Saccharomyces cerevisiae S288C: one gene and its partner. The protein of the gene in region 2 binds, or shares a complex with, the protein of the main gene of each other region. Each region holds a gene or a part of one and is shown on either strand. Other genes may lie near its edges. A codon is read from its position in the direction of its gene.

What was found. Proteins that work in one complex are often made in the same cells at the same time.
Region 1: the proteins of ARF1 (region 2) and GEA2 are in contact, whole or in part, in a cryo-EM structure (PDB 7URO), measured with the Saccharomyces cerevisiae proteins. Residues at the interface, in NP_010089.1 of Saccharomyces cerevisiae: Glu17 (codon at 1,949), Arg19 (codon at 1,955), Met22 (codon at 1,964), Gly24 (codon at 1,970), Leu25 (codon at 1,973), Gly27 (codon at 1,979), Lys30 (codon at 1,988), Ile46 (codon at 2,036), Pro47 (codon at 2,039), Thr48 (codon at 2,042), Ile49 (codon at 2,045), Gly50 (codon at 2,048), Phe51 (codon at 2,051), Asn52 (codon at 2,054), Val53 (codon at 2,057), Thr55 (codon at 2,063), Thr64 (codon at 2,090), Trp66 (codon at 2,096), Asp67 (codon at 2,099), Val68 (codon at 2,102), Gly69 (codon at 2,105), Gly70 (codon at 2,108), Gln71 (codon at 2,111), Arg73 (codon at 2,117), Ile74 (codon at 2,120), Ser76 (codon at 2,126), Leu77 (codon at 2,129), Trp78 (codon at 2,132), His80 (codon at 2,138), Tyr81 (codon at 2,141); in NP_010892.1 of Saccharomyces cerevisiae: Leu646 (codon at 3,005), Arg650 (codon at 2,993), Leu651 (codon at 2,990), Pro652 (codon at 2,987), Gly653 (codon at 2,984), Glu654 (codon at 2,981), Ser655 (codon at 2,978), Gln656 (codon at 2,975), Gln657 (codon at 2,972), Ile658 (codon at 2,969), Glu659 (codon at 2,966), Phe699 (codon at 2,846), Ile700 (codon at 2,843), Tyr703 (codon at 2,834), Ile706 (codon at 2,825), Met707 (codon at 2,822), Asn709 (codon at 2,816), Thr710 (codon at 2,813), Asp711 (codon at 2,810), His713 (codon at 2,804), Asn714 (codon at 2,801), Pro715 (codon at 2,798), Gln716 (codon at 2,795), Val717 (codon at 2,792), Lys718 (codon at 2,789), Glu719 (codon at 2,786), Met721 (codon at 2,780), Asp725 (codon at 2,768), Asn729 (codon at 2,756), Leu730 (codon at 2,753).

The regions. Positions count from the first base shown.
Region 1 is NC_001137.3:109,628-116,360, reverse strand, and holds GEA2 (Arf family guanine nucleotide exchange factor GEA2), read right to left. Parts: upstream 4,941-6,733; coding exon 561-4,940; downstream 1-560. Other genes in the region: URA3 (orotidine-5'-phosphate decarboxylase), read right to left, coding at 1-194; YEL023C (uncharacterized protein), read left to right, coding at 5,809-6,733. UniProt on the Saccharomyces cerevisiae protein: Activates the ARF proteins by exchanging bound GDP for free GTP. Plays a role in maintaining mitochondrial morphology. Stimulates DRS2 flippase activity.
Region 2 is NC_001136.10:114,421-117,426, forward strand, and holds ARF1 (Arf family GTPase ARF1), read left to right. Parts: upstream 1-1,900; coding exon 1,901-2,446; downstream 2,447-3,006. Other genes in the region: NUS1 (ditrans,polycis-polyprenyl diphosphate synthase), read left to right, coding at 252-1,379. UniProt on the Saccharomyces cerevisiae protein: GTP-binding protein involved in Golgi vesicle trafficking. May modulate vesicle budding and uncoating within the Golgi apparatus. May recruit the lipid transfer protein VPS13 to Golgi membranes.

The DNA of each region.
Region 1 (6,733 bases), on a different chromosome or scaffold from region 2:
AAGATATCCACATGTGTTTTTAGTAAACAAATTTTGGGACCTAATGCTTCAACTAACTCCAGTAATTCCTTGGTGGTACGAACATCCAATGAAGCACACAAGTTTGTTTGCTTTTCGTGCATGATATTAAATAGCTTGGCAGCAACAGGACTAGGATGAGTAGCAGCACGTTCCTTATATGTAGCTTTCGACATGATTTATCTTCGTTTCCTGCAGGTTTTTGTTCTGTGCAGTTGGGTTAAGAATACTGGGCAATTTCATGTTTCTTCAACACCACATATGCGTATATATACCAATCTAAGTCTGTGCTCCTTCCTTCGTTCTTCCTTCTGCTCGGAGATTACCGAATCAAAAAAATTTCAAAGAAACCGGAATCAAAAAAAAGAACAAAAAAAAAAAAGATGAATTGAAAAGCTTTATGGACCCTGAAACCACAGCCACATTAACCTTCTTTGATGGTCAAAACTTATCCTTCACCATAAATATGCCTCGCAAAAAAGGTAATTAACATATATAGAATTACATTATTTATGAAATATCATCACTATCTCTTAGCATCTTTAATCCTTTTCTACATCAGATAACTTCGGTTTGTTATCATCGTCTGTATTGTCATCAATTGGCGCAGTAGCCTCAATTTCAACGTCGTTTGACTCTGGTGTTTGTTCATGTGCAGATCCATGAGATGATGAACCGTTGCCCTTCTCAATACTCTTCTTATCAAGTATTAATTGCTGTAGCTTTTTTTCAATATCTGAGTCCTCTACAAATTTATTGAAAATACTCAAAATTTTCAAAAACGTTTCGTTGCTTGTCTTCCCTAGTTTCAAATAATGCAAATAAACATTTGAAATTATTGTTAATATGGATGAAATGAGGATTTTCTGGTCTTCCTGTGTTTCACTCGAATTTAGCAACGGTAGTAATCCGCCCTCAATTAATTCTTCTACCGATTCCATCTCATTAGTTGGAATTTCGATTTTATTGATGAGCGTCTGCTCTAGCGTTACCACTGCAAATTCACTTATCTGCTTACACGGATTGATGCATTGATGTGCCAAAGCTTGAATAATAGCGAATATCTCGTTTTTACGCAGATCGTTATTATCTTCCAGCAAGTGTGATGTTAGTTGAATGGATTTCAATGATAATTCGATCGATTTCTTGTATGGATTCTCCTTATCAATTTTATGACCACTTTCTGTCAATTTCTTGTATTCTATTTCCCAGTGATTTCCAACGGCACCCATTGATGAAATTTCATCTAATAGTCCTAGGACCCACATGAAGTTCTCATTTGTCAAAATATTGCTGTCTGTCTTGATCGATTCATTTAAATATTCAAAAATGCTCTCGCTCTGCTCTTTCATTGCTGTAACTTTTCTTAAAAATTTCCAAAAATTCTCATTTCCTAGTAAAAATCCTCTATAAAACTCTGATTCGGTCAATGAAAATAGTCTCTTCAAAAATTCCTTACCTTGATTAGTTGCAAAAAATTTTTGGGTAAAAATATCCCCCTTTTTTAACAGCTCATCGTTTATTAATTTGGACAAGTACTCCGTCTGATCCGCACATAACGAAATTAACAAAATTTTGTATGTTAGCATTCTACGAACAGTCCTTTTCGTGAGGCCTTTCGTGTGAGAAAGTTGGAAAACTTTTTGAAGTATGAACTTTCCTAATTCTTTCTCCTCTTTGCAAAATAGAAATAATGCAATAGTCAATTCGATGATAAATAAAAGTTCTGCTTCAAAATACCTGGAATTATCTGCGTTTTTCTCAGTTTTGGCGGAGTCTAGTAAAGTTTTTATTAAATCCGCTGTTATATTTGATTCATTTCCAAAGACAGAGGCGGCAATATTACTCGACTTTATGCACTCCATCGCTTTTTTTGAGGATTTGATTTCCTCTTCTGTGGGTTCTTCATCACCTTTTAAATAAGAAGCAAATGTTGATAAGAGACCTTTGCTTTCTTTGCTCTTGTTAATAGAAATTTCAGGAGATGGCTTAGGCAAGTTGCTTAATTTCAGTCTTTTTTGTAAATCAGGGAAAATATCAGGAGACAAAATCAAGTCTTCGTACAATGTTAGTATAATATTAACAATGTTTAACCATAATTCCTTGGAGAAAATTTTAGGATCTTTGTTCCTGCGAATAATCCGGAAAAAAACAACTGTATTTAGTTGACCCTTAAATGATCTACCAAATCTAACAGCATCTGTACTAACCGGGATCTCAGTGTTAGTGTCTTCGAATTTAATTTGCACCAGTGGCATTGGGCCATATTCAAAAGCTAAAGTTGAAAGTTCATCGTCATGGCTTGAATTAATCAAAGTAGTGCCCTTAGCAATGGAGTTTAGTATATCATTAAAGAGATCTTTGAAGTCAAAAAATGCGGAAATATAGGAACATTTGTCCAAACTTGTTATCATTCTGGTAGATATATGGTCATCAGATGCAACTACGTAAATGTTGAATAAAGTACTGACAATACTTGGGCCAACTTGTTTAAAAATTGCTCTATCAAAGTTCAAAAGCTCCAAGGGTGTTAATTTATCCATGACAGATTGTGTGTCTTTTTTTATTTCAGTTATAACAGTAGTTGAAGATATCAAGTTATTCCAAGCATCTTCAAACCACTTTTCGTTGCCGTGGTGCTCTTCAGGCATAACAATTTCTTTATCTCTGATTGAACAGTAAATTCTATCCAAATACCAGAATGGGAAGTCTTTGTGATTACAGCATCCCTTTAAGTTACCAGAGTAATCTTCAAATGACATGTGTTCCTTCACTTGAGGGTTATGTAGGTCAGTGTTCAACATAATAATTGAATAACTTAAAATGAAAACAGAATCAGCGTCTGGTTGAACAGTAGAAATGTCATCCTCCGCGTTGTCACTGATTTTGGATGGATCGTAATCTTGATTTTCACAATACGCAGACGAGAAGGCTTCGATGATTCTTTCAATTTGTTGCGATTCACCAGGCAACCTAAATTTCGTCAACAAAATTCTAATAGCTTCATCGACCCTTAACCCTGAAAAATCAAACAAACGAATATATTCATTCAACAAGCTTACTTTGTCCGGATGGCAAAGTAGCAAACCGATTGTTTTTTTATTCATACGGTTGTTATTATTGAAAAGAAACTCCGCAATATCTTTATCGGAGTCGGAAGCAATGAAACCTTTTTCTATTAACATCGGAATACCCTTTTTGGGCTTTTCATTGAATGCATTGGTACATTCAATAAACTCTGTTTTACGGTCCCTCTTTTTTAAGATTTCCATTTCATTCTTTTGCCTGCCAAATTCTTCTCTGTCAATGTCCTTCATGTGATCGAACATATCATCGACTAGGGAGACCAATCCCTCAAGGCAAATGGGTGGTACACTTTCTGTGGTAGTTAAGGCGGATTCTGGTAAGGCCAATTTAGTCAAAGCCTTCAAAAAGTTTATGGAAACGTCTGCCCTATCGAGATTACAATCGAAATTGATAAAAGTAGAAGTAAAAAAAGATGGCGACCTAGTCCATAAGATGGATATTTGCTCAATTAGAAGTTCCTTTATTATTGATGGCTTGTTCTTATTTTCAGAACTCGAGTTATTTGCGGTACCATCATCTAAAAGAATAGAAAATATTCTTGTTAGAGTGAGCTCGATCTGTAATTGTAAGTTGTTGCCCAATATAACAACTAGAGTAGTAAATAGCTGCAATGTAGCTTGAAGTAGTGATAATTTTGTAGTGTTCTGTATGATAAACAAAATGCTTTTGAAAATAGGATCTGATATCAGTGTAAAAAGCCGTGGGTATAGCTGCAATCGATCACCTGAAATTTCTAATGCCGTTTGAATTAACTCTAGGCCAAATATTCTAGTGGAGTATGAATGTTTTAATTCATTTTCTGGCGCAATCAATGATAGTAATAAGTTTAAATATTGCCTAACCACGGGCAATCCATAGTTATCATCAGCATACGCTTGGATCCTGGAATTTGATCTTGTTGTTTTTTGCACAATATCTAGTTGTTCGGCGCCATTTGTGCTCTTCTCTGAATGAATATGCTCTTCTTCAATGCCATCGTCCTCGCTAATAGCTTCCTCATTATTCACTTTCATGCCGATGGGATCTTCTTGACTTCCTTCTTCTTTGGATTCTACATTTGTGCCAATTGTATCGGCCTTCAATACATCATTTGTGTAACTTTCATCATTGATGTATATTTGATTCACATTAACAGGCTCAATAGTCTTTAGTTTTGAGAAAATCTTTACGGTAACGGCTATCATTGTTGATTGTGCAGCATTCCTAAGGACTTCGCTCCTTCTGTTATTACAAGCCAATGAAAGAATCGTTTGCAATACGTCATATATGATAGAGTTTGATAATAAATCTCCGTAAGGTGAGTCGACGATTGAACGCAGTAAAAACACGACTTTCAAAAGAACTGAATCATCAGAAAGTTGTTGAGATCCTTCAAACCTACAATGTGTTAGAGCATTTACCGTCGCCCTGTGTGCACCAATATAGTTTTGCGATGATTCATTGATGATATTCAAGGTAAAGAATTTCTGCAAAGAGTCCAGGGCCAGGGAAGTGATGTAACCAGAAATGGAACTTGTACTCACAATTAATAAAAATGGCTGCAATATGGTTAGTGAATCTATATTATCTAGATTTTTCAGTTTATTCAACATAAGTCTTAACTGAATGAATCCAGATAAAAATGGATCATTGTGCTTGTTGGTATTCAAATTGTTGAATGTGTGAGCCAAGTAGTCATCTTGATTGCTAAATATTTCACTTCCTCCCCCCAGCAAAGCGGCCACTCCAGATTGAGAGGTAAATTTAGAGTATTTCCGCATCGCTGTCGATAAATTAATGCATTCTTTGATTATGATAGTGACGGGATCTACCGTGACGAATTCCCTATCACTCATCTTTCCGCCTCTTCTCTTTCCCTTTAAAAGATTTTTTAGATACTAAATTAATCAGTTTATTGTCTATGGTTTACAAGCAGTGAAAGAATTTAAATTCAACGTAATATGTAGGTTGGTGTGTTTATTATTTAAACGCCAATGTAGGTGCTCTTTCGACACTTATTGAAGGTTCTCGCAATGAACCGCGTAGTATTTTTCAAGTCGGGTAATGAAATATATAAGAACACTTCTAATACTTTATGAAAATAAGTGCTAAATATGGTTTACCTCTTATGCCAATATAAACTATAAAAGAACTTAAAAACATCAAATCTTTAGCAGAGGAGTCCTTTCCGTTTGAAATTGTTGTTTATTACTTTATTTGCGGTTCGCCACACTGCCTAAAACCTGCAGTTTCCTGTAAATGTTGCTGGTATATTATCAGTATGAGCCGGCCGGATATTTCCCTTATTTAATGAAAGAAGTTTTTTTGAAGTCAACTTCTAGTGTTTGTCTTCCATTTTAACGATCAGGAGTCGTCATTCCAATTTTTTGCCTAGAAAAGATTCATGCTTTTAGGAAAATAGTGGAAAACCAAACATACATCAATTGACGCTTCAAGTATGGTACTTAAAAGATAATGTTAATATTTATTATCCTGTTAATTAGTCTTTCTTCGTCTTCTGAAAAATGTTACTTGGAATATTTAATGTTATGAAATTATGGTAATGGCCCTCCTGTTGTCTATTGAGGTGTCTGGGTGTGTTTGTCACATTCAATATACTGTTAAACCGCCACAAATTAATGTACTTCAGACAGATGTAGTAAAATAACAGCAAACAGGTGATGTAACTTATAAAAAATAATACACTAACATAATATCCATTAGATGGATAGCTTCAATTATATTCATGGAAAATATAAAAAAAATGGGACGGGAGGCGACAGAAGTATAAATCCATCCTCACATTCATCGTCTGGCAAGAATATCATTCTTTGTTTTGATGGAACAAGAGAAAATTTTGGACCTCAGCCATTCACTAATATTTTAAAATTGTACAACCTTCTTGAGAACGGTGATAGTTCTGAACAAATTTGTTATTACCAACCTGGAATTGGTTCAGTTGGATTTGACGCTGTTGTTGATGTCAGAAGACGGTTAACTATTTCTCACTTACAAAATTTATTAGATTCTATGTTCGCATTCAGTTTAGACAATCACATATGTTCTGCATATCTTTTTTTGATGAAGTATTTTGAACCAGGAGATAGAATTTATATGTTTGGCTTTTCTAGAGGAGCTTTTATTGCAAGAGTTCTTGCTGGAATGATTGAAAGAGTCGGACTTTTGAGTAAAGGTTTGGAAGAAATGGTTAAAATGGCATGGCAAATCTATGAAAAATGGGAATACGATTCGCAGCCTAATGAATTACAGTACACAAGTACCTTGGCTGAAGAATTCAAGAAAACATTCTCTAGGGATTACGAGGTAAAGATACATTTTCAAGGCTTATTCGATTCTGTGAACTCAGTTGGAATATTAAGGGACAGGTTGTTTCCTTGCACCCAGAGAAGCAATATCGTTGAGCATGTTCGACATTGCGTATCCTTGGATGAAAGACGTGGAAAATTCAAGCAGTTATGTTTCACTCCGATGCCGTACATTCCGAAACTATTTTCATTGACATATTGTAATCATATAACTGACCAGTGTTCGCCGGTGCCAACTTCTAATGCATTAATGCGTGATCTAACCCCGGAAAATCCTTTGATAAAATACACTTTAAAAAGTGGCGCACATTCTATTAGTAATC
Region 2 (3,006 bases):
CACTTTTGGATACTTAGCCGCCGACGGATACCATCTTCGGTCAACGTCGGAAGTCATTATAAACGAAAAGGTTTCCCAATAGAAAAGTCCTGCAGGAGCCACGTATAACACTGGCTTGAATTATCAACAACTCTCGAAGGCGCTGGAAGAGAATTTTTACGCAAGTTAGTATTCGCATAACATTAGTTGGCAAATTACACAATTTTTTGATACAATATATATACATATATTTTCCCCATTGTTTTTCTTAGATGCCCACGATGATCAAAAAGGATGATAAAGCAATGGAGCCCCCTAATGAAAAACCGCATAGAAAGATCGAAAGAGATGATGTTCCAGAATCTTCCAATCACATCCCACCTCCAGAATCTGGTGTTTTAAAGGGCGGTAAAGTTAATTCAAAAACCAGAGCTTTAAAGGCCGTTACAAGTATCATTGCAGACGCCGATGAGAACCCTCAGAAGAAAGTGAACAATGAGACGAATGGAGTCCAAAAGCAAAAGACAGAAGATTTGAGTAAAAGAATAGGTAAATTTGAATACCTTTTTTACAAGTTTTTACTTGTGTTGTTATACATCTGCTTCGGGTTGTTTCGGTACGGTCAATACCAATATAATAAAATGAAACTAAGAATATTCAGTATCATCTACAACCATGCATATACACCACAGTTGATTAGACAGGACGTTATTCCTCTGAAAAAAATTCCTAAAAGGTTGGCCGCTATCTTGGAAGTCAAGCCAGTTGGCGACGTTGGCGGCGGTGTGACAGGTTTATTAAATGACGCGAGTGAAATTGTTTGCTGGACTGTTTCAGCTGGTATAAAACATTTGATGTTGTACGATTACGATGGAATATTACAAAGAAATGTTCCAGAGCTGAGAATGGAAATTCATTCCAACCTGGCTAAATATTTTGGGCCAGCTCATGTTCCAAACTACGCTGTTAAAATACCTCATTCTAACAAGATATTCTACAATCTAGACGGAATTGAAACCGAGACTGATGTAGGCAATGAGATAGAAGCTAACCAAGAAAAGGACAAAATTGCTATTGAAATTTCTTTATTGTCTAACAGAGATGGTAGAGAAACGATTGTCGATCTGACCAAAACTATGGCTGAGTTATGTGCGGTTAACGAATTGAGCGTTTCTGACATCACAATGGATTTAGTTGATTCAGAACTGAAACAACTAGTTGGACCCGAACCAGATTTACTGTTATACTTCGGGCCTTCGTTGGATTTACAAGGGTTCCCACCTTGGCATATTAGATTAACCGAATTTTATTGGGAAAAAGATAACAACGAAGTCATATATTCGGTTTTCATCCGCGGCCTAAGACAGTACGCAGGATGTAAAGTGAATGTTGGTAAATGATACTTAAGAGCTAAACGAAAAGATAAGTATCTCGCTCAACCTTTTAATTTTGCACAGTTGAATTCTCGTCTGATACTTAAGAAAGTCATTGCCCACATATATAACAGTAGTAATAATGATAATGATAGCAATAGTTTTAAGCTAGCTACTTAGTTGCATTTTTCAATAGTTTAGTAAAAAAAGTCACGCAATAAGCTCTCAAGAAGCCACTAATACCGTAATGATAGCAGTTTATTGTAGAAAAACCATGTTATTACCCTTCCCTTTTTATTTCTTTTCGCGTTGCAAATCACATATAACGAGGTGGCTTGTATTTGTCAAACCAAAAAAAAAAATGAAAATCGAAAAATGGAAAAACAGAGAGAGAAACGGAATCTTTGACACGTTCTCGATCCACTTGTTTATCGAGGTGGTTTTTATAAGTCTTACTAGATAGAAAGTTCATTTTGTTTTGAAACTTTTTGGAACCTCTGGCATTGAAGGTATAAGAAAGAACTCAAACAGGTTTAATAGAATTAAAAATGGGTTTGTTTGCCTCTAAGTTGTTCAGTAACCTTTTTGGTAACAAAGAAATGCGTATTCTTATGGTTGGTCTTGATGGTGCTGGTAAGACCACCGTTTTGTACAAGTTGAAATTGGGTGAAGTTATCACTACCATTCCAACAATTGGTTTCAACGTTGAAACTGTCCAATATAAGAACATTTCATTCACTGTCTGGGATGTCGGTGGACAAGACAGAATTAGATCTCTATGGAGACACTACTACAGAAACACTGAAGGTGTTATCTTTGTTGTCGATTCTAACGATAGATCGCGTATTGGTGAAGCTAGAGAAGTTATGCAAAGAATGTTGAACGAAGATGAATTGAGAAACGCCGCTTGGTTGGTGTTCGCTAACAAGCAAGATTTGCCAGAAGCCATGTCTGCTGCTGAAATCACTGAAAAACTAGGTTTACATTCTATTAGAAACCGTCCATGGTTTATCCAAGCCACGTGTGCTACCTCCGGTGAAGGTTTGTATGAAGGTTTGGAATGGTTAAGTAACAGTTTGAAAAACTCAACTTAAAAATTCTAGAATATGGATCAAATACGCTTGTATAAACTAAATGAAACATAAAGATTAAGAACTTAAGAGGCCAACGTCGATGGATTTATTGACGATCACCAGCCAACACATATAGATTTTAGTGTAAAAGCAATAAAAACCAAGATAATAAAATAAAAAAATACTGAAGAAGCCTAACTAGTATAAACTACTTTAACTAATAATGGCAATTTGATATAGAAACAAAGAAACATGATATATTTAGGATATTATACAACGCATTTTCATTTGTTTTACAGCACCCCTGCGTGAATCATATATTGACGTTTCGCTCTCAGGTCCACCGTGTTCTCAAAAGATACTTTTAAAACCTAAAACACACGAAATCATATTATGATAATTCAGAATGATAGTGTGGTACTGTGTCAATTGACTGTTCAAGACTGAAGAGGATCTTTGATTTGTTGTTACTCAACAAATAATCTTCACGAAAACTTTCTCAATCTGGGGACTGTATTAATCTCAGACCCATACATATCTACACCCATAACTTTTTACATTTAATTTTTTATCACATAATA